Sus scrofa: one gene and its partners. The protein of the gene in region 1 interacts with the protein of each later gene in a pairwise test. Links are inferred from orthologs where the notes say so. Each region holds a gene or a part of one and is shown in the gene's direction. Other genes may lie near its edges.

What was found.
Region 2: the proteins of KATNAL1 (region 1) and COX17 interact in binary tests that used the Homo sapiens proteins (3 or more experiments, as listed by UniProt). The two-hybrid records come from large-scale screens. The link is inferred for Sus scrofa from reciprocal best matches to the Homo sapiens genes KATNAL1 and COX17.
Region 3: the proteins of KATNAL1 (region 1) and CEP57L1 interact in binary tests that used the Homo sapiens proteins (3 or more experiments, as listed by UniProt). The two-hybrid records come from large-scale screens. The link is inferred for Sus scrofa from reciprocal best matches to the Homo sapiens genes KATNAL1 and CEP57L1.
Region 4: the proteins of KATNAL1 (region 1) and KLC4 interact in binary tests that used the Homo sapiens proteins (3 or more experiments, as listed by UniProt). The two-hybrid records come from large-scale screens. The link is inferred for Sus scrofa from reciprocal best matches to the Homo sapiens genes KATNAL1 and KLC4.
Region 5: the proteins of KATNAL1 (region 1) and KATNBL1 interact in binary tests that used the Homo sapiens proteins (3 or more experiments, as listed by UniProt). The two-hybrid records come from large-scale screens. The link is inferred for Sus scrofa from reciprocal best matches to the Homo sapiens genes KATNAL1 and KATNBL1.

What each region holds. Positions count from the first base shown.
Region 1 is NC_010453.5:7,061,362-7,065,433, reverse strand, and holds the start of KATNAL1 (katanin p60 ATPase-containing subunit A-like 1), read left to right. Parts: upstream 1-1,262; 5' UTR 1,263-1,409; exon of another isoform or gene 1,410-1,650; intron 1,651-4,072. UniProt on the Homo sapiens protein: Regulates microtubule dynamics in Sertoli cells, a process that is essential for spermiogenesis and male fertility. Severs microtubules in an ATP-dependent manner, promoting rapid reorganization of cellular microtubule arrays.
Region 2 is NC_010455.5:140,582,885-140,587,123, forward strand, and holds the start of COX17 (cytochrome c oxidase copper chaperone), read left to right. Parts: upstream 1-1,401; 5' UTR 1,402-1,546; coding exon 1,547-1,653; intron 1,654-4,239.
Region 3 is NC_010443.5:75,169,602-75,173,817, forward strand, and holds the start of CEP57L1 (centrosomal protein CEP57L1), read left to right. Parts: upstream 1-1,391; 5' UTR 1,392-1,654; coding exon of another isoform or gene 1,655-1,658; coding exon 1,659-1,781; intron 1,782-4,216. UniProt on the Homo sapiens protein: Centrosomal protein which may be required for microtubule attachment to centrosomes.
Region 4 is NC_010449.5:38,119,305-38,123,501, forward strand, and holds the start of KLC4 (kinesin light chain 4), read left to right. Parts: upstream 1-1,369; 5' UTR 1,370-1,576; exon of another isoform or gene 1,577-2,071; intron 2,072-2,153; exon of another isoform or gene 2,154-2,289; intron 2,290-2,334; exon of another isoform or gene 2,335-2,487; intron 2,488-3,200; 5' UTR 3,201-3,224; coding exon 3,225-3,482; intron 3,483-4,197. Other genes in the region: MRPL2 (39S ribosomal protein L2, mitochondrial), read right to left, coding at 1,149-1,244.
Region 5 is NC_010449.5:80,343,463-80,347,004, forward strand, and holds part of KATNBL1 (chromosome 15 open reading frame 29), read left to right. Parts: intron 1-798; coding exon 799-849; intron 850-936; coding exon 937-1,026; intron 1,027-1,599; coding exon 1,600-1,689; intron 1,690-2,515; coding exon 2,516-2,609; intron 2,610-3,542.

The sequences.
Region 1 (4,072 bases):
ATCCCTAAGCAAGGTACAGGGCTTTTCCATCACCACGGAAAAATTCCCTCTTCAGCCAAACCCCACCCTCAGCTCCGGCCTCCCACCTTCTGGCTCGTCTCACCGATGGGTTAAAGAACTAATATTTAAAAGTTACTGTTAAATGCCAGGCTTTGTTCTGGAAAGCTTCATCAGTATCAGTGCTTTTCTTTCTCACAAGCACTGTGAACTAGATTATTATCTCCACGTTGCAGATTAAAACGCTGAGCATCACTGCCCCCAGGTCTCAGCTACCAAGTGTAGTGGCAGGTAGGGGACTAAGAAGTGGGTTTTAGAAACCCCTGCTCTTAACCTCAGTTCAGACTATGGTGCATCTCCGCGATGGGTCATGGCCAGTCCACAAACGATTAAAGAAATATTATAGCTCAAAATTCAACTGAAGTCTCAGCCCCCCCCCCCCCGAATAATGCGTTGTATTTTACTAAATGGTTCATTTCTATCCTACTCAGAAAATGGCAGAAAGGGGGTGTGAAAAACTGCAAATTCGGTTTTACTGGTGAAACACTCCAAAAGAGGTGGCTTGGGTTCAAACAAGCCATAGGGCCTGGCCAGTGGGGGATGCCCAGAGGAGGATGGGCGGCGGGGGAGGGCCTGGACCAGCGACCTTTAAAGAGCCGGGCGCTGCTCCTTCCTCTGACGCCACAAGCATCCTCTCAGAATAGAGCAGGCATCGACGCGCGGGCGGAGGGGACGGACACGCGCCCTGCCACGGGGATTGGACGCTGCGGCGCAGGGCTCATCGGCGGTAAGAGAGCGCAATTCGTCACCGTCCTCCTCAATGTCACGCTCTCCCTCCGCTCCCAGACGCACCCTCGCGCCTCCCTGCCCCCGCACCCGGGCGGGTTCCCAGGCTCCTCCCTGGAGCTGACTCCAAGCCCCCGATTTCCTCCCCCGCCCCGCCGTGCGGACCACAGCTGCCATGGCAACCGTACGCCGCCGCCGCCACCGCCTCTCCACGCACGTCGCGAACTAACGGACTCCGCGGCGGCTGCGGCCTGTGCCCCACCCCCACCCCACCTGCCCCGCAGCAAAACGGTCGGCCGACCTGCGGCACCTAGGTAATGAATCTGAGGGAGACGGGCGCCAGCAAGCCAGCCCGTGGTGAGGTCCCCGGGTTGAAAGTCCCTCCCCGGCCCCCGCCTCAGCAGACCCGGGGGCAGTGCGCGGCGGGACAGGCAGTGCGTGCCGGCGGGAGGGGGAGCGCCGCGGGGCGCGGAGCACTATGGGGATTGTAGTTCGGCGGCTCCTCAGGCTTGTGGCCTGGTGGGGCGGCCTGGATGGGCGGCCTACAGAGCCCGGCGGCCCCGACGACTGAGAAAGACCGATAAAGTTTGAGCGGAGCCGGAGAGGGACCAGTCTCTCTCTTTGTGGTGAGGGGGCTTGTGGGGGGTCGCGGAACGGCGTTCTGAGCGCTGGGAAGGGGAAGCGGAGGCGAGACCTGGCCTTTTCGCCCTCCTTTCGGCCCGCCCCGACTGCAGCGTTGGCCCCACCCCGGCCGGGCCGCCGCCCCGAGTAGCCTCGGGGAAGAGCGGCCGCCCGGCTGCTGCAGGGCCTCGGGCCTTCGGCACCTCTCATCCTCCCAGGTTGCTGCCTCGCGGTGCAGAACCGTAGGTATGGCACACTTTTGCTGGGAGACCTGGAAAACTGTTTTAACAGGCTTTTCTCCTTTTCCTGATACGTTTATTTCTAGGTATTTGATCAGTTTCACTCTGAAGCAGTTCAGAGGTGTTTGCATTAATTAAACCCTCTGATTAATAATTACTCAAAGGGCAGTAATATTTAAAGGTTAAATGTAGAAGTGGATGAAAGGTACAGTGCTGATAGATAGTAGTGTCTGATATTTTTACCGTGTTGCATTTTGCATTTTATTTATTGAGTCAAGATTACAAAATGAGAACCCCTTCCACCCCCCCCAGCTTAAACACTGCCAGCACACATTTTGATTCCATCTTAAAGGTTACATTAAATTACTAGTGTTTTTCAAAGTGTAGACTTTTTATTTTTTTTCTTTTTAAGCAGTAGTGATAAATATTTTCTTTGACTAGCCCAGTGTTCTCAGGAGAATAAAAAACACCTTTTTCTTTCTTCCTCCCTCCCCCTTCCTTCCTTTTTCTTTTCTTTCCTTTTTTCTAATGCTCTGGAATACACCTTGGCTCCTAAAGTTTGCTCAGGCCGTGATAGTAAGGAAAATTAACTCTGAAACAGATTTAGAAAACCTGCCTTGTCTACCTTTTAAAATTTTTCAATAGGTAGATAAGCATCCTAGAAATTTGGTATTTTTGCAATAGTATGTTGGGAAATAGCTGATGTGGGCTTATTTTATGTGTGTGATTTAGACAAGAAAACATAAGGCCACTATAAAATTCCTTTTCTCTTGATTAAATGAAGCTGGTCTCTATAAACTTAAAGTAGCGATTTTGTATGAGGAGATTAAAAAGTAGGTTTAATAAGGTCACTAGAAAAAAAATCAGCGCTTTGTGTTATACAGTATAGGGGTTTGAAGTATTTTATTTATTCATTTAAAATTTAAGGACCTGTTGTGTGCCAGGTATTGTGCCAGATTGTGGAATAAAGAGATGCTAGAAGATAATCTGTGCCCTGCATGGGCAAACGGCCATGTCACATCATCAGTGTGATAGAGCTCGTGTAAGTTGCTATACCCCCCAGAGTGTGAACACATAGTAATGTCATGGTAATATGTATTGAGTACTTACTCTGTGGGAGGCACTCTGCCACATGTTTTGGATGTAGCCCCTTATTTAATCCTTAATCCTTGCGAAGTAGCTGTTATTTAGAGATGAGGAAACAGCCTTAGAGACCTTGCCCAAAGTCATCAGTGTGAACCTGGGGTTTCAACCCAGGTGAGTCTAATTCATCTAAATCATAATCTCAACCACTGATGCCATTCTCTGTACCCTTTGGTCCTTGCCTCAGGAGATTAGCAGAAGTCTTCAGAATGATGTGACATTTGACCTGTGCTAAGAAAGTTGATTAATCTTGTGCTGGAGAGAGGCTGAGAAAAGTCTCTCTAGGCAAATGGCATCACAGAAGCAAAAGCTGAGATTTGAATGCTTTGTTTCTAGGGAACCCTGGGTCACTCTGATTACTGAACCCCAAAATACTTGCAGTGTAGTAGGGAGAGACCAGACCTCAGAGTACTTATTGCCATGATAAAAGAGTTTAGAATTTTTCTTCAACATGGGGCTATCATTGAAGAGTTTCCAGAGGAGTCGTGACATTATTGGGTTTGTAGCTGAGAAAGATAGCTCTGGCTCTAGTTTGGGGAATGGATCCAGAGGAGGAGAAATTAGAGTGGTTGGTGGGAAAACCAGTTTTAGGAAGAAAAAAAAAAAAGTCCAGTAGGGAGATGAAATGAGTCTAAGGTAAACCATTGGAGTTATAGAAGAGACGGGTTGTAGGAATATTTAAGAGATAAAATTGATAGGACTTAATAAGAGTTTGGATCTTGGGGGCTAGAAAGATTTGGAATCCTAAGATGAATGAATCCTAGTTTCCTGGCCAGGGTGATAGATGGGATAGTGAGCTCATTGATTGAGATGAGCAGGAGCAGGTTTTTATTGGGGTGATAGATAAAGATAAATCCTTTCACTTTTGAATATTTGTTCAAGGTTCCTGTGGGATATTCAGGGAAGGATGCTTTTGGATCTGGAGTTCAGGAGGTAGAGGTTTACATGTAGTTAAGAAGTTAAAGGAGAGAATGGATCAGCTCACATAGGGGGAACATGAAGAAATGAAAAAGGAAGAGGTTCGAATATGGAGTCTTTGGGAAGCAGCAGCATTTACGGGGTTCAGTGTTTGACAGGAAACGGGGGTGAGTCCACAGATGAGTGTGAGTGGTTAGGAGGCAGAGAGGAAGGAGAACCAGAGAGAGCATCCTAACAGACAGCAAAGAGTAGGAATCAGGGAGTAAGTGGTCCAGGTGCCTGGGGGAGGGTAAGGGAAGATTGAAATGTGTCTAATGGACTTGGTGGCTGCCCATCATTTCTAAACCTTGCAAAAATGAAGAAAAGGA
Region 2 (4,239 bases), on another chromosome or scaffold:
CAGGATTCTGAGCTGAATCTCTGGAATACAGAAACAAACCTTAGTGTTAGGCTGCATCCCGCAGGTCTGCAAGCCCTGTGCCTACCCAGCTTCATGACTGAAGAGCCCAGAGTCAGTGACAGAGACATGGATGGTTTAATGGCCAGGGGGTTCTTACATGTCTGACAGGACATGGTAAAGTCTCTGCTCCTGGAGGGGAAGGGGAGATTGCCAGTTACAGTGGGAATTGACATCAGGTTGGCACATGAGTTACCAGGGAGACCAGCAGAGAGGCACTGCCCTCACCGCTCTTTAGATAAGAACAATCTCATTGCTGGGGCCTGGGACAAATATGTAGAAAGGTCAATCATGCACTTAGGGGTTGGTGGAGCAGGAAATGGTGGAGCAGGGAATGTACAAAGAGCAAGAAAACAGCCATCTTGAGGGGCAATACCATTGGCTGGTTTAGGTGATAAGCAATGTTTGATTAACCAAAGTGCGTATCCCTAGACAGCTATTTTAACAATGCCTGGAAGTCCTGCTTTAAAAAATAAGTTCATCCTTCCTCAAACAATTCTCTGCAGGAAAAAAACTTAATGGTTATGTCCATTCTATTGCAAATACTGTCTAAGTTTACTTATTTACCTAGATGGATAGGTATTAACTGAATTTGAGGAATGACAATGAAAAGGCATTTTAAAATTTTACTAACCAATATATTTGCCCTATGATTGGCAATTCATATGGAAATCAATTCAGTTGGAGAGGGAGCTATAAACACTAACTAGCTGAGGATTTAAAGCGTGTGGGTGAGGTAAGGTTCCCAGGCTAGGGGTCTAATCGGAGACACAGCTGCTGCCAGCTTATGCCACAGCCACATCAACACCTGATCTGAGCCCTGTCTGTGACCTACACCACAGCTCAGGGCAACGCTGGATCCTTAAACCACTGAACGAGGCCAGGGATAGAACCCGAAACCTCATGGTTCCTAGTCTGATTCGTTTGCGCTGACCACTAGGGAACTCCTTTGCTACTCACTTTTAACTAGAGCGGTGAAGTGGGGTGGTGAAGGCAGTAAGGCAGATAATGGCAAGCATAAGATGCCGGGCGCTAAGTCTGTTACTCAAGAGGAATTGGCTTTCACTAGTGTTTTTTTTTTTTTTCTGTAGCATAGACAGGTCATTTCACCTTCTTGAGTTTCAGTTTTCGACTTCGAGCTGGGTGTATGGTTGAGAGCTCTCCGAGTTGCCTTACGGGTCTCCTCATTTGTGGGTCCTCTCAATGCTGGTCTACAAACATCGCTGCACTTTACCTGGGCTCTCTGCACCTGCGCGGAAAAGGCGCCCTAGCACTAAGGCCATCATTCGGCCTCTTCTGCGCACGCGCGTGCCCTTTAAAACATTTTTCCTCTTTACCTCCTCCCTTCCTCCCAGTTCGTCAGAGTGAGAGGCAGGACTTCCTGTTCTGTTTTGGAGCGACTGCCGGAAATAACTGCGGGCGAATCGGCGTGTCCGGAGGCCGGTAGAGTTTGGGGTGGCAGAGCTAATTGCAGCTTTCGGCGCGAAAAATGCCGGGTCTGGCGGCCGCAATCCCTGCCCCGCCTGAATCGCAGGAGAAGAAGCCGCTGAAGCCCTGCTGCGCCTGCCCGGAGACCAAGAAAGCGCGCGATGCGTGGTCAGTGCGCAGCCGGGGAGGGGGCGGCGGGGCAGGCTCCGTGCACTGCCTTCGGGTGCCGCTGCCCGGACTAGGGCTGGTCGTGGCCCTCACTTTGCCGCGGGGCTCTCTTGAGGGTTATAGACCTGGGTAGGCTTCGCAGTCAGCTGTCTGTAGACTGAGCTCGTAGCTTACCCTGGGGAAAAGGTTGAAGGGATCAGAGAGAGGTCAGATTGACCCGCCGCGCTCAATCCAGGCATTCCTTCCTACAAAAGGTTTTTCATCAGCTGTTATGGGTCAAACATTGCTTTAGGACCGAAGGCTTGTAAACGGATGGATGCTACTTGATTTAAAGAAACACAGGAGTTCCCGTGGTGGCTCACCGGATTAAGAACCCGACCAGCAGCCATAAGGATGCAGTTTCGATCCCTGGTCTGTTCAGTGGGTAAAGGAGCCGGCCCTGCAAACTGCAGGGTAGGTCGGTCGCAGATGCCAATGGGATCTGTGTGGCTGTGGCTGCGGTGTAGGCCGGCATATGCAGCTCTGATTCAGCCCCTAGCCTGGGAACTTCCATATGTCCCAGGTGCGGCCCTTAAAAAAAAGTAAAGGGAAACAGTTAATGGAAACGTTTTTCAATGATTGCTCTACTATGGTTTATGGGCCATGATAGAAGACTTGGCAAAATCAGAGTTCCCTTGTGGTGAGAGGGGTTAAGGATCCCACGTGGTCTCAGCAGCGACTGCCGTGGGGCGGGTTCGATCTCTTTTCGGGAAGTTGCACATAGTTCCCCCGCGGCCAAGAAAAAAAGATTTATCAAGATCAAAGAGTAAAAGTTTTCCGGTTTTCTGGTAATTTCTCCCCGAATTTAGTCATAGTAGGGTACAAGGTACATTTCTTAACGGTACAGAAAATCCCCTAAACTCTTCCCCCCACCGTTTTAGGTAGATAATTTAAAAATCAACTAGGCTATAACATATGTGACACTGTAGTGTTCAGAATTGTTTATCTAAATTACCATCAACCTGCAAAAGGTTTTCATTTCTTCTTACTGTATACAGCCTCTGTTGTGGAACAAATCTCAGAAGGAATCTTCAGATAATGTGAATGTACACCTCTCCCTCCAGTCCCTTTTTGTCCTCACATAAAAAGTAAAGAAATCATAAGTGACATAGTGGGAAAATATGAGTGGTAGGAGCCAAGTGCTTTTTGTTAATATCCACTACTGTGCACATAATACTGTTAAGGGAGATTCAAAAGACTACGATCAGATACTATGCTTCCACATTAACTGTTAAGTGCTTATTGAACCTTCAGACCATATGATATTATGATGGAGCCTGGGATCTAGTGTCAAGGTTTGAATCCTGGGGCGTCAACTCTGTTACCTTGATCGAATTATTTAACATCGTTGCCTCCTGTCTGTAAAATGGGCCTAATAAAAGTGTCTGCCTCCAGGATTATTGTAGGGTTAATGCTATAAGCCACAATATTTACAGTATTCAAGAAATGATCTGGGAGGGCTAGCTATTGTTTTGGGGGGGCATTGTTTGTTTTTCTTTTTCTGGCCTCCTGAAGGACATGGAGTTCCCAGGCCAGAGATGAGAGCCTCAATTGCAACCTATGCCACAGGTGTGGAATGCTGAATCCTTAACCCACTGCATCCCAGTGCTGCAGAGACACCACTGATCCCTTTGTGCTACAGCAGGAACTCCAATTATTTTTATAAGGAGCTTGCTGTCCCAGGCAGACAGCTCTTATGAAAGATGTGTAGGCTTTAGAAGAAAGGAGAACCTCCCTTTCTTTAAATTACTTCTGCATCAATTACTTCTGACCACTATGGCTTCTCCCCAAATATCTATAGTTAGGAGTTATTTTTTTCTTACAATTGAATTTGCCTTAACTTGGTTCTTTCCTAAAATTACATTTTCAGGCCCTTAGAAATGAAACTGTGTGGTTCTAGTTTTTACTTTGTGAATTTTACAGGTCAAAAGTTCTTTGATCATCATGACTGGGGCTCATTGGGCTGCTCTGGGCAGCCAGATATTTTTTGCTATTTGTGAAGGGTGTCTTGTTATTAGAAATAGACTTATCTAGATGTATGTGAATGTAGGATAGAATCAAAAATTGGATTCCTCTGTGATAGGCAAAAAGTAAAGTTCTTTCTGTCCATTTAGTGTTAATTTTTTATTCAGTTTATTTTGTTATAGGTTAGTATTATTGGGTAGTGTCTAGAGGTAATATTTAATATGCATAATTTCTTCTAATCAGATGCCGCCCGCCCCCAACTAGATATCAATAGAACATCTTCATGGGTAACGAAATATCACAAGAGCCAATAAAAACAAAGCCATTTGGTATAATAGCATTTTTGTTTTGGTTTGGTTTGGGTTTTTTTGGCTTCCCTGAGGCATATGGAGTTCCTGGGCCAGGGATCAGATTAGAGGTGCAGTTGCAGCCTAAGCCACAGCTGCGGCAACACTGAATCCTTAATCCGAGTGCATGGCCAGGGATTGAACCTGTGTCCCAGTGCTCCCAAGAAACCACTGATCCCATTGCACCACAGCTGGAACTCCTGGTATAACAGCATTTTTCAAAACTCAAGGTACG
Region 3 (4,216 bases), on another chromosome or scaffold:
ACCACAGCACTTCGTATTTTTAAAACGAGAAATGTAAGAAATAAATCAGAAAAATCGAATCGTCACGAAAACATAAGCCTGGGTGACATTGGTACCAGAAATGTCTTCGATCTACCAGACAGAGCTCGCCCTCTCCTTCTACCCGGAGTAGCAGTCTTCTAGTCAGACAAAAAAAAAAAAAAAAAAAAAAAAAGTTGGAAAGTTGAAACCTTACAGAGCTGGCTTTGCTGGACAGTGTCGGGGAAGTGTTCCTCTCCGTCTCTCGGGGTCAGCGGATATCCTCAAGCCGTGGAGCTGTCAAATCCGTGCTCTGCCCCAAAAGGCTGGATACAGTTGAACGCTCTGCAGCCACTCGGTGTTTTTTGTCCGTGCAGCCACGGTGTTCTCGGGAGCGTTCCCACCCCGCCCCTCCTCCGGCACCAGTCCCCGCCCTCCGCAGCTCCTCCCGCCCGGCCGGGCGCTGGCTGGAAAGGCTCGCCGAACCCTGGCTCGCTGGACGCCGCGGCTAGAGACCCTGGCGCTCCCCAGGGGCTGCAGTCTCGTGCAGCCTCTGTCTCGGTGGTGGCGTTGGAGGAACGCGTCTCTGGCTCTGCGGATTCAGAATCCACGGGCTGACGCTGCTTCTCTTCCAATCCCGGTATCCTCGCCCACTGCCGGCCAACCCAAACCGGCACAGGGCAGCCCAGCAATCCCCGATCGCGGGGCTGGGCCGCGAAGCTGGCGGAGCGGCAGGGCCCCAGGCGCAGAACCCGCCCCTTCGCCCAGCCCCATCGATGGGGCTCGGCCCAGAGGGCGGGAGCGGGGAGGGGAGACGGGGTCCTCACCCCCAGCCCCTCCCCTTTCTCCGCCCGGCACAAGCCAGGAGCCGCCCCTGCCCCTGCCCCTGCGCCCTCTTCCCCGCCCAAGCAGACGCGACCCGCTGAGGCAAAGCCATCGGAAAAAGCCCCGCCCTCCAACAAGCTACCTCCGGACCCCGAGCCCGCGAGCGGCCGCCAACCGCTGACGGCTGCTACGCATGCGTAACGGTGGGCCGGGCGCATGCGCCTTAAGAGGCACCGAATCTGCTCGGGGGGCGTTTTTTTTTTTTGTTTTTTGGTTTTTTTGGTTTTTTTTTGCCTTGACGTTCGGCTTCTTTGGGCTGAACGGGGGTAACGAAAAGTTGAAATACGCCGAAATTATCACACACGAGACAAGAACCGCAAATAAGGAGGGCACAGATAAACTCCTGGAAGAACTCGAATCAAAATTTAAAATCAGAGGAAAAAATAGAAACTCTTTATTGCGCCAAACACCAGATTTAAGAAGGCAGGGCGTCCTCGCATTGACTTCTGGGAAGTGTAGTTCTGGTGCTGTAGGCGCGTTCTGTTTGAGACAGAAACTACAGCTCCCGGGAGCCACTGCGACGTTGCCTGTGGCTCCCTGCGAGCCAACGGCTAGCGCTGCCGGAGATTTGACTGAGAGATTTGGCTTGGTGAGCACTGTGGGCTTGGCTGACACTTTTCCTTTGACAGTATTTTTCCTTCCTCCATTTCCTGTGGGATTTTAGAAAGGAAGCCGTCTCCTTAGAGCTGTACTCCTTAGTCCAGGGACTATCAGTAATCTACGTGGGAAGAACTAGTCCGAGTGCCCAAGACCGCGGGCGCGTTGAGAGGACATGGATGGTCGGAAAGAGCTGCATAAGGTCAGGCAAGAGGGATGCTGTGGAAACTAGTGCTCCGCGGTGCTACCTCTGCTTCTGCTCTGTCAGGTGGGCTCACGCGGGATGGACTCAGTATCCCTGTGTAAGTGCACCTTTGTTTGCCATTGCATAGGATTGTTTGAGGCTTTATTTGCGCAGAAGAAATCCTGTGCCACACTTTGAAAGAGAGTTGTCAAATCCTTTTTGTACAAAACTGAAGGGAAAAGAATCCCTCGTGTTCCTAGATATGAATATTTGCAGGCTTTAAGAATACCATATGGAAAAAAGACTTATAAAAATCTCTAAAATTTAGTAATTTTAAAAGATTAAATAATTTGTTTGCATATTGCTGTTTGAAGTCATTCTTCTTGAGAAAAGTTGAGGTTTGAAGGGCTATCACTGGACTGATAACAAATTAGTTTTAATTTTTCATGTTGCACAATACATGCGTTTCTAAAACTTAGTTTCTAAAAACCAAGTACTGGACAAGTGGAAAACGCACAGTTCCCATCTAGTTAAACTAATGGTTAAACATTATACAATACATATATAAAGTACAGTACACACATTAAACATACAGTACTATATGATATTATTAGGATGGCTAGAAAGATCACTTAGGCCGGTCTTGGAAAGTCAGGGAAATCTTCATCTCAGGGAAAGAGGGTCAAAAGAACAGCATATGGTGAGGCCAAGAGTGAGGGAGATAGTAATTTCAGGAAACTGCAATAAGCCAAAATCATATACATTTCAGGAGGAATAGCTTTTTGTGTTTTGATGTACAATACAGCAAAGAGAAAAGAGTAAAGAGCAGAAAAGAGAAACGTACTATGAATTTTCCAGATAGTTTCTGAAAGTGACCTATCCTTGAACAGAGTTCTGATGAATTGGTTTAATTTGGAAAGCCTAGAACATTCTAATGTTGCTTGTTTAAATCAGAATTTTAAAAAATGAGAACTTCCTTCTTATGAGTATGATTTCAGAAAACAAAGCCACTCCTTCTTGTGTCTTTTGGGGTGGGGGGAGGCTCATCTTCCTTTGTCCAACCCACAAAGGATAGGGTAGTTTCTTAAGTGTGGGTCTCCTTTTTACTTTGTGATTGAGTATGATCTCATTCATAGCCATGGTTTCACCACCACCTATGACTTAAATGTATAATTTCATCCAACTTCACCTTTTAGCTTTGTTTCACCACCACCTATGACTTAAATGTATAATTTCATCCAGCTTCACCTTTTAGCTTTCTTATGCCCATCTCTATGGTGTTTCTTCTTGGATATCTCAAAAGCACCTCAGACTTAACATGCCTAAAACCAAATGAACAGTATCTTTTATGAATCTGATTATTTCCCAGTGTTCCCTATTTCACTTAGGGCACTGCCATGCACTTGTGAAAATTTGAAACCTATGCATTATCCTTGATTTCCTAATGTCCTTCATACCTCTGTAGCCAAATTATTTTTAAGTACTCTCAATTTTGTCTCCCAAATATCCCTCAAATCCATCCTTTGCCTCCATCTACATAAGCACAGTCTTTTCTAAACTGCCATAAACTCTTGCCAGGAATGGTGAAATAGTGATTATTCACTCTGGCCTTTCTCCATTAGTTCTCCACACAGCAGCCAGAATCATCTTTTCAAAATGCAAATCCATTCAGATTCACATTTTCACTTAAAACCATTCAGTGTGTGTCCTACTTTTAAAGGCAAAATTTCTTTACAAATGTCATCTTATGTCATCTGGTCCCTTCCACCTCTCCAGCCTCACTTAGTACACCACTGTCCACCTATCTGTGGAGACCTTTCTTCAGTTACTGGCTCTTATATTCCTTTTTATCCATTTGTTCACTGAACAAATATCTTATCAAATACCTACTGTATAAGGGGACATTGAGGATATACTATTGAGCACAATGTATGAAAGTTTTTACTCTCATAGGTCTTCCATTGTGCTAAGGAGAGATAGACAATAAATATGTGGCATATATAGTAAGTGAAGACAAATGCTGCAGAGAAAAATAAGAACCAGCGGGGAAAGGGAATGTGGAGTGGCAAGTTTTAGGGGCAAGATTCTCTTTTAAATAAGGTCAGAGAAGGCCTAATCAAGAAGGGAACATATGAGGGATCTGAAGGAGGGGAAAGAGTAAATGTGCAGGTGCCTGGAGGAGAAACATGTCTGTGAAGAGAACAGCCAGTGCAAAAGCCTCTGGGTGCCCACATTTAACAAATAGCAGTGTGGCAGGAGATGAGAATAACATGAGATCACAGAGGAAGGAGGTCCTGTAGGTGATTGAAGGAACAATTTTTTTTTTCTTTTTTTCTTTTGCTTTTTAGGGCCGAACTTGGGGCATATGGAAGTTCTCAGGCTAAGGGATAAATGGGAGCTGCAGCTGCTGACCTGCGCCACAGCCCCAGCTACAGGGGATCTAGGCCTCATCTGCAACCCACGCCACAGCTCGCAGCAACACCAGATCCTTAACCCACTGAGTAAGGCCAGGGATGGAACCCACCTCCTCAAGGATACTTGTCAGGTTCATAA
Region 4 (4,197 bases), on another chromosome or scaffold:
GCTGCAGCTCTGATTCGACTCCTAGCCTGGGAACCTCCATATGCTGTGGGTGTGGCCATAAAAAGTCAAAAGAAAGGAGAAGCCTCGGAGAACCAAGGGAGAGGGCACAAAGTTTAGCTTGTAGCTTCCTCCTGGAAATGTCCCAGAATAGGTGTCCAAAACTCCACCCTTCACAGCTTGCACAAATACCAGTGGGAAATCTTTATCTAGATATATGTGTGCTGATTACCTCTTCTCCCCTGATCCTCTCACCTCTGAAGTGTTTCTTCAATGGAGTGTTCTCCCTTTGGTGCATCTTCTTCCAAATTTGGCTCAAAACATTCCTTCTCCAAGAAACTTTTCTTTCCCTAAACAACTCACTTCTCCAGAGCTGATAACTTCTATATATTCATGTGCCACCATCAGCAATGCCCTGTGACCATTTTACTGCATTATGTTTCTGAGTTTTTCAGATGTGAATGGAGGGGAGAGACCATTTATGTTTTGTTCATTGCTGTAGTCCCAACATTTCACATTGTAGGTTGGTTTGGTTTTGAATTTTAAGTATCCATCTGCCAAACTCCACCATCAGTCTGAAAGGTCTAGAGAGGTAAGACAAACTTCTTTTCTGTAACTCACCAGTTGCCCAGCCCACTAGGAATCTTGTGATTTCTTCATATGTTAGGCCCCTAGTCTTGGTATCTTGCCCTGAATTTTCTAATTCTTTTAACTCATCCTTAATGGTTATAATAATATATAATAAGCCAGTCTGCCTAGCTCCAATAGTTGGTGTACGAGCTTGGATTACATATCAGTTTTCTCATGTGTAACACGGTAATGATAATAACTTATAAACTGGTTGAAAGGAATTCATTTATTTAAAAGTTTATTTGACTTGGCTTATGAGACACTCAATAAACGTAAGTTATTATTGAAAGCTGTACATTTGTCTGTGAGGCACTTCATCTTCAATATCTTGTCTGAGGAATCCAGCGACCCTATGAGATAGCAACGTTTACAGAGGAGAAAGCTGAGGCTGAGAGTTACTTATCCAAGGTCACGGGCCGGCGTGACTCCTAACCAGACTCGCACCCCCCCCCCCGCGTCTCCTGGTGCCCCATCTCCGGTTGCCAAATGGAAACAGCCTCACTCCCGGTAAGGTAGATTACCTGGACGGCCGGGAGCAGGTTTAGGCCGGGGGCGACAGCGATCCGGGGCGTCAGGCTCAGAGAGCTAAGAGCGCGGGTCAATACCCGCAGGGCCATGATTGGCCAGGCTCGGTTGGGTTCAGCACACCACCATCACCTTTAGCGAGGAACCCTGGCGCTACTGGATGACGCTAACTGGTCCAAGTGCCGTCGCTCCATCCTGACGTAAAAAGAAAAGAGGCGGGCGGAGAACCCGAGACCAAGTTGGACACACACCTCCTTTCCTCCCTGTGCCAGGTAGACCCAATCCCCCGGCGGCTCATAGGTCGCGTGACTGGGGAACAGGCCCCGCCCCTCAGAGCCGTCAAAACAATTGCCTTGAGCGGCAGCCATGATGGATTTAAAGGGGCAGTACCGGCAAGAGCTGTAGCCAGATCATCAGACTGCGGGTGAGTCTTTAAGGGTACTTTGGGGCAGAGAGTTGAGATCCTGCTACCTCTTTCTTGCACTCCCGGACAGATTAAGAAATGAGCCCTTCCGAGCAGTCTCAAACAACTCGAGTCGGATTCAAAAACTCCGCCCCCCGGGATTCTTCCCGCCCCCTCGGCGTCCAGACGGACGGACAGACGGTCCGCCCCGCCCCCTGCGCTACCAACTGACTCCTTGACCTCGGGATAATCCGGCCCCTGGTCCTCCTCGCCCGCGACGCGGACCTGGGTCATCACCCCGCACCTCCTCCCTTCTCTCCTGCCCATCGCACTCTCTCCCCACCCTGGGCCTCAGGGCAGGTCGACAGCCTGGGACACTTCACCGCATTCCCAGGCCGGGGAGACCAAGTCCTAGCGCCGAGATCCTCTGTGATCCCGCAGCCACTCAGCGGACCTGCCATTCTTCCCTGCATCATCGGGCACCTGGGAGGCACTCTACGCTGACTCTCAGAGCCTGTTAGTATGTTAGTACGTGATCATGATAGAGACAAAGCCATAGAGATGACTGGGCAAAGAGTGACCAGGTCTTCCTCCTCACCCGTTCCCAGACACGCCCCTTGCCTCAGGTCTCAGATCAGATCTCACTCTCTTCTTGGGAGAAAATAGCTCCCAGGCTTGGGGTGGGAGGTTGGCTTCTGGAAGGAGGAGGGACCTTGGTCGTCTTTGAAGACCTGTGGGCAGGGGAGGGAGGGTGTTTGTCCTGGGTGGGGCTCTATGCCAGGTCCTCGGGAGGCTGTGAAGTGGTGAGAGAAGGGGTGGGAACGCTGGACTTCTGGACTTTGGGCAGGGCAGATCCTTCTGAGTCCCTGGCTGCTTGAACAGAGTTTCTTCCGGGCTCCTGCCTGAACGCCACAACCAAGGGTTATATACAGGTAAGAAGACTTCAAAGATGAGAAACAAGGCCCTTTTGAGGAAGTAGTCAGACAGCCTGAGGCCTGAGGTTTCAGGCATGTGGGGAAAGAGGCAGGGCTGACCAGGTTTGCAGATGCTGGGCTTAGCTCTGTGGGCGACCCGCACCTCTAGGTGCCTCTCATCTGGGTCCTGTGATGAAGGCTCCTATTTTTTTTCTTTTCCTTCTCTTTCTTGATTTAAACATTGATTTGAAACCTATTTCTCCCCGCACTTTTTAAAAAATTCTGACTATTTTCAGCATATCTCCTGCCTGCTTTAACCTCGTTCCCTTTGCAGTGCTCTCAAACACCCTCTGTGCTCCCTAGAGGGCTGTCTCTCCTCTCCTGATTCCTTTTCTTAACCCCAAATCTGTCTCCAACTCCTTTTCCATTCTGTTCCTTAGCTCAGTCCCTCTGGTACTTCTCAGCACCTCTGTTCCTTCTATACTTTTTCTTCGTTCAAGTCAATTCCTCTCCTTCTCTATCTCCCCCAACCTTAGTTTTGTGTCTAGTGTCGCAGGCTGCCTCCTCACTGGTCACTTGTTCTCTCCAATTAAACCACAGGGTTCCCCCCCTCCATTTGCTCTTTTCCTTCACTTGGACTCCCCCCTCCACCACCCCTGCCAGCCTCTAACCAGGGCGCTCAGCCCTCGTTGTTATTTTGACTTCAGCTGAGCTCTGTTGTTTCTCTGTAGCCCAGACACGGTCCCCTGGCCAGGATGTCGGGCCTGGTGTTGGGACAGCGGGATGAGTCTGCAGGGCACCGGCTCAGCCAGGAGGAGATCCTGGGGAGCACCCGTCTGGTGAGCCAAGGGCTGGAGGCTCTACACAGTGAGCACCAGGCAGTGCTGCAAAGCCTCTCGCATACCATCGAGTGTCTGCAGCAGGGAGGCCATGAAGAAGGGCTGGTGCACGAGAAGGCCCGGCAGCTGCGCCGATCCATGGAAAACATCGAGCTGGGGCTGAGTGAGGCCCAGGTGAGGGGGAGGAGGTGGTGCCAAGTGGCCCCAGGTAGATGGAGAAGAATTGTCTGATGGAGTTTTGGGTTCATTTGGGATCCCTTTTCCTAGATGCTTGAATTCATTCACCCAGTTAATAAGTATTAAGCCTCCACCATGTGCCAGGCACTAATCTTCTGGATGCTCGGGAGAGTGATCACTCAACACAACGGCCATAAAGCTTTGCCATCTTGGAGCTTAGAGTCTAGCTGGGGGAAGCAGGTGATACACAAATAAATAAGTGATTCAGTGTGCCAGAGTGATAATTGCTAAGGATAAAAAGGTAAAAATAAAGCAAGGAAGGGGATTGGGGTGTATGGAGAGAGGATACAGTTTTAGGTGGGGTGGTCCGGGAAAGCCTCACTGAAAAGGCACCATTTGAGCAAAGAATTGAAGATGAGGGAGTTCTCATCATGGCGCAGTGGAAACAAATCTGACTGGGAACCATGAGATTGTGGGTTTGATCCCTGGCCTCGCTCAGTGGATTAAGGATCCAGCATTGCCGTGAGCTGTGGTGTAGGTCACAGATGCGGCTCAAATCTGGCATTGCTGTGGCTGTGGTGTAGGCCGGCAGCTGTAGCTCTGATTCGACCCCCAGCCTGGGAACTTCTATAGGCTGTGGGTATGGCCCTAAAAAGACAAAAGCCAAAAAAAAAAAAAAAAGAATTGAAGATGAGGGGTTGGGTCATACAGT
Region 5 (3,542 bases), on another chromosome or scaffold:
AAACGAACCTTTTAAAAATCCCATTTGATTGAAATTTTTAACTATTAGCTTTCTAACTGTAAACAAGTCTCCTCAAATGTTATCTTGGTGAGGCTTTCCTTGACTACCTTATTTAAAAATACATATTTCTTACTCTCTACCCCTCTTTCCTGTTTTTTTCTCTATAGCACTTAACATCATGCTTTTAAATATTTTATTTGTTTATTGTCCGTCCCTGCCCTCTCCTATTCCTGCCCCCCATTACTCACACACATTGAAATATAAGCCCTATTTCTTTGTTCACTGCTATATCCCTAAAACCTGACTCATCATAACCACTTCGATAATTTGTTGAGTGAGTAAATTTCTCAAAAGCAGTGTGGGGAGTTCTTGTGTGGTGCCAAAGAAACAAATCTGACTAGTATCCAGGAGGACGCAGGTTCAATCCCTGGCCTCAGTGGGTTAAGGATCTGGTGTTGCCATGAGCTATGGTGTAGGTTGCAGATGCGGCTTGGATCTGGTGTTGCTGTGGCTGTGGTGTCGGCCAGTAGTTGTGGTTCTGATTCAACCCCTAGCCTGGGAACCTCCACACGCCATGGGTGTGGCCCTTAAAGAAAGAAGTGTGAAGATGATAATATAAAAATAAATAAAAGGGGGTTCCCTCGGGGCTTGTTGAGTTAAGGATCCAGTGTTGTCACCGCTGTCATGTGGGTTCGATCCCTGGCCTGGGAGCTTCCACATGCTGTAGGTGTGGCCTAAATAAATACATAAATAGAGAAATAAAGAAAATAAGACCTCTAAGCAGTTTTGTTCCCACAGGATAGAAGACCTTGGAGTTGTGGTGGATTGCCTTCCTGTGCTCACCAATAGGTAAAATGAATATTTTTCAGAAAAAAAAAATTAAAGAAGGACAAATTATGACCTGTTCATATTTTTATAACTCAGTATTTATTTTAGTTTACAGGAAGAAAAACAATATATCTCACTTGGCTGCTGTGTAGACTTGTTGCCTCTAGTAAAGTCACTACTTAAGAGCAAATTTGAAGAGTAAGTGCTGATCCCAATTCATTTTTCTCTTTGAATATCCGTGATTTGGTGCCTCATGAATGCATAGTGGTAAATTGAGCTCAATGAAGCATATACATAGTTTCTGTTTTCTAGTGGCTTATAGTCCACTTAGGAAAAGCATATGAGAATGACTAAAGAACAATTACAAAGGAGTTCCCATCATGGCTCAGTGGTTAATGAACCTGGCTAGTGTCCATGAGGATGTGGGTTCAATCCCTAGCCTTGCTCAGTGGGTTGAGGATCCAGTGTTGCCATGAACTATGGTGTAGGTTGCAGAAGTGGCTCAGATCCCGCATTGCTGAGGCTGTGGCGTAGCTCCAATTGGATCTCTAGCCTGGGAACCTTCACATGCTGTGGGTGCGGCCCTAGGGAAAAAAAAAAAGAACAACAGCAAAAACATCTATGAAATTACATAAAATACAATTTTGTGAAATAAATTTTCAAAGGGGAAAGATCAGTGTGTATGAGTTTTTTGAGGGGGTTATAATCTCATCTTTTGTAAAGGCTTCTTTGATGAAAACACTTGAATTTTGTAACAAAATGTCATTTCAGATACGTAATAGTTGGTTTAAACTGGCTTCAAGCAGTCATTAAAAGGTGGTGGTCAGAACTATCATCCAAGACAGAAATTATAAATGATGGGTGAGTATACATTTAAAGATAAACTCATGCTACTAAATATTTTTTTTAGGAAAGCAGCTTGATTAGGCTAGGTGAAAATTTTATTCCATGATTATCAGTGTGTAAGACTTATTCTGTTCATTTTCAGAGAAATAATAAATTGGAATACTGGTCATATGTGAAAAATTCCATGTGAAAGTTGAATTCCATAACTCTGTAACTCCTGTAGCTATTGTTCTGGCAGCATTCTGCCCTTTCTCTTAGGAAGCAGAAGCACAGAAGTGGTTTAACCCTCATGTCTATCATAAAGGGGTGAGAGAATAAAAGAAATGGCCTGGAGTGAAATAAGTATTGAGGAACCAGAATGGAGGCCTCCTGCGGGGTACTTTGGCTACCTAACCATTAATATGAGAATTCAGTGTGGATGATTACAGTTCTAAAAACTCAATTATAATCGTAATTTTAGTTTAGCCTTGATGTGAAAAATGTATGAATCTTCCACCAAATGAGCCAGATTATCATGAAGCTACCAAAAAAAACCAAAAAAAACCCAAAAAAAACTCTCAACAATTTCCTTAAAGTCCATAATTTTCTTTGGAGGCTCTCAAAGTTTTCCCACTTCACACCCAAGAACCAGTTGTCTAAATGCTTTGTTATTTTCTTACCAGCTTAACAACTAAGTTATTTCTGTGATTGACATGTACTGTTTTAACAAATTGCTTGACTTCAAATGGTATAATTTTATCCTGATAAGTACTTGAAAAATTCAAAACAGTTTTCACTAAGTGTATTTACTACCAAAGTCCATATCCTACTGTATTTGCATTTCTTCTTTTTTTCTTCCTAGAAATATTCAGATTTTAAAACAACAATTAAGTGGATTATGGGAACAGGAAAACCATCTTACTTTGGTTCCGGGATATACTGGTAATATAGCCAAGGTAACCTATCTATCTGTCTATCTATATATATTTTTTTTTTTTGTCTTTTTTTTTTAAGGGCCTCACCACGGCATATGAGGAAGTTCCTAGGCTAGGGTCAAATAGGAGCTGTAGCTGCCGGCCTATACCATAGCTACAACAAGGCGGGATCCGAGCTGTGTCTGTGACCTGCACCACTCACAGCTCACGGCAACGCCGGATCCTTAATCCCCTGAGCAAGGCCAGGGATCAAACCCGAAGAAATATTTTTACTTGGCTCTTGCTAATGTCATGCTTTTTTGGGAAAGTTAAATTGTTCAAATCACAGTATGAATTTGACATTGTTCTTTGTTGATTTGCTTATCTCTTAAAGGAAAAGGTACATTGTTAGTTTGGATTTTAATATTTAAACTCCAGAAAACATTGCAGTTAAAATTGCAGAAAAAAATTATTAAGAAATATTTCCACCCTTGTTTGGGGCATACTGCTATCATAAAAGGTTTTGGAGAATACATGGTATATCACCTTATTCTGGAAGTGTCTTGTATTCTTAGTGGTAGAACTGAAAATTTGTTTCCTTTGAAATTTGCTTTCTTTTTGCTTTTCTCGGCCCACTCCTGCGGCACAGGGAAGTTCCCAGGCTAAGATTGAATTAGAGCTGCTGGTGCTATGCCACACAACGCAACTGGGGATCTAAGCTGCATCTGCAACCTACACCACAGCTCATGGCTACTCCAGATCCTTAACCCACTGAGTGAGGGAAGGGATCAAACCCGAATCTTCATGGGTACTAGTTGGGTTTGTAACCTGCTGAGCCACAACAGGAACTCCCAGAAATTTGCTTTCAGTTGTAATTTTTTTTAAGGGAAAAGCTTTATTGTGACTACTACCTTAAGTACTGTATTATTGCAAACAATATTGAGTGATTAAAAGTTCTATAAAGTTCCTTAAGCT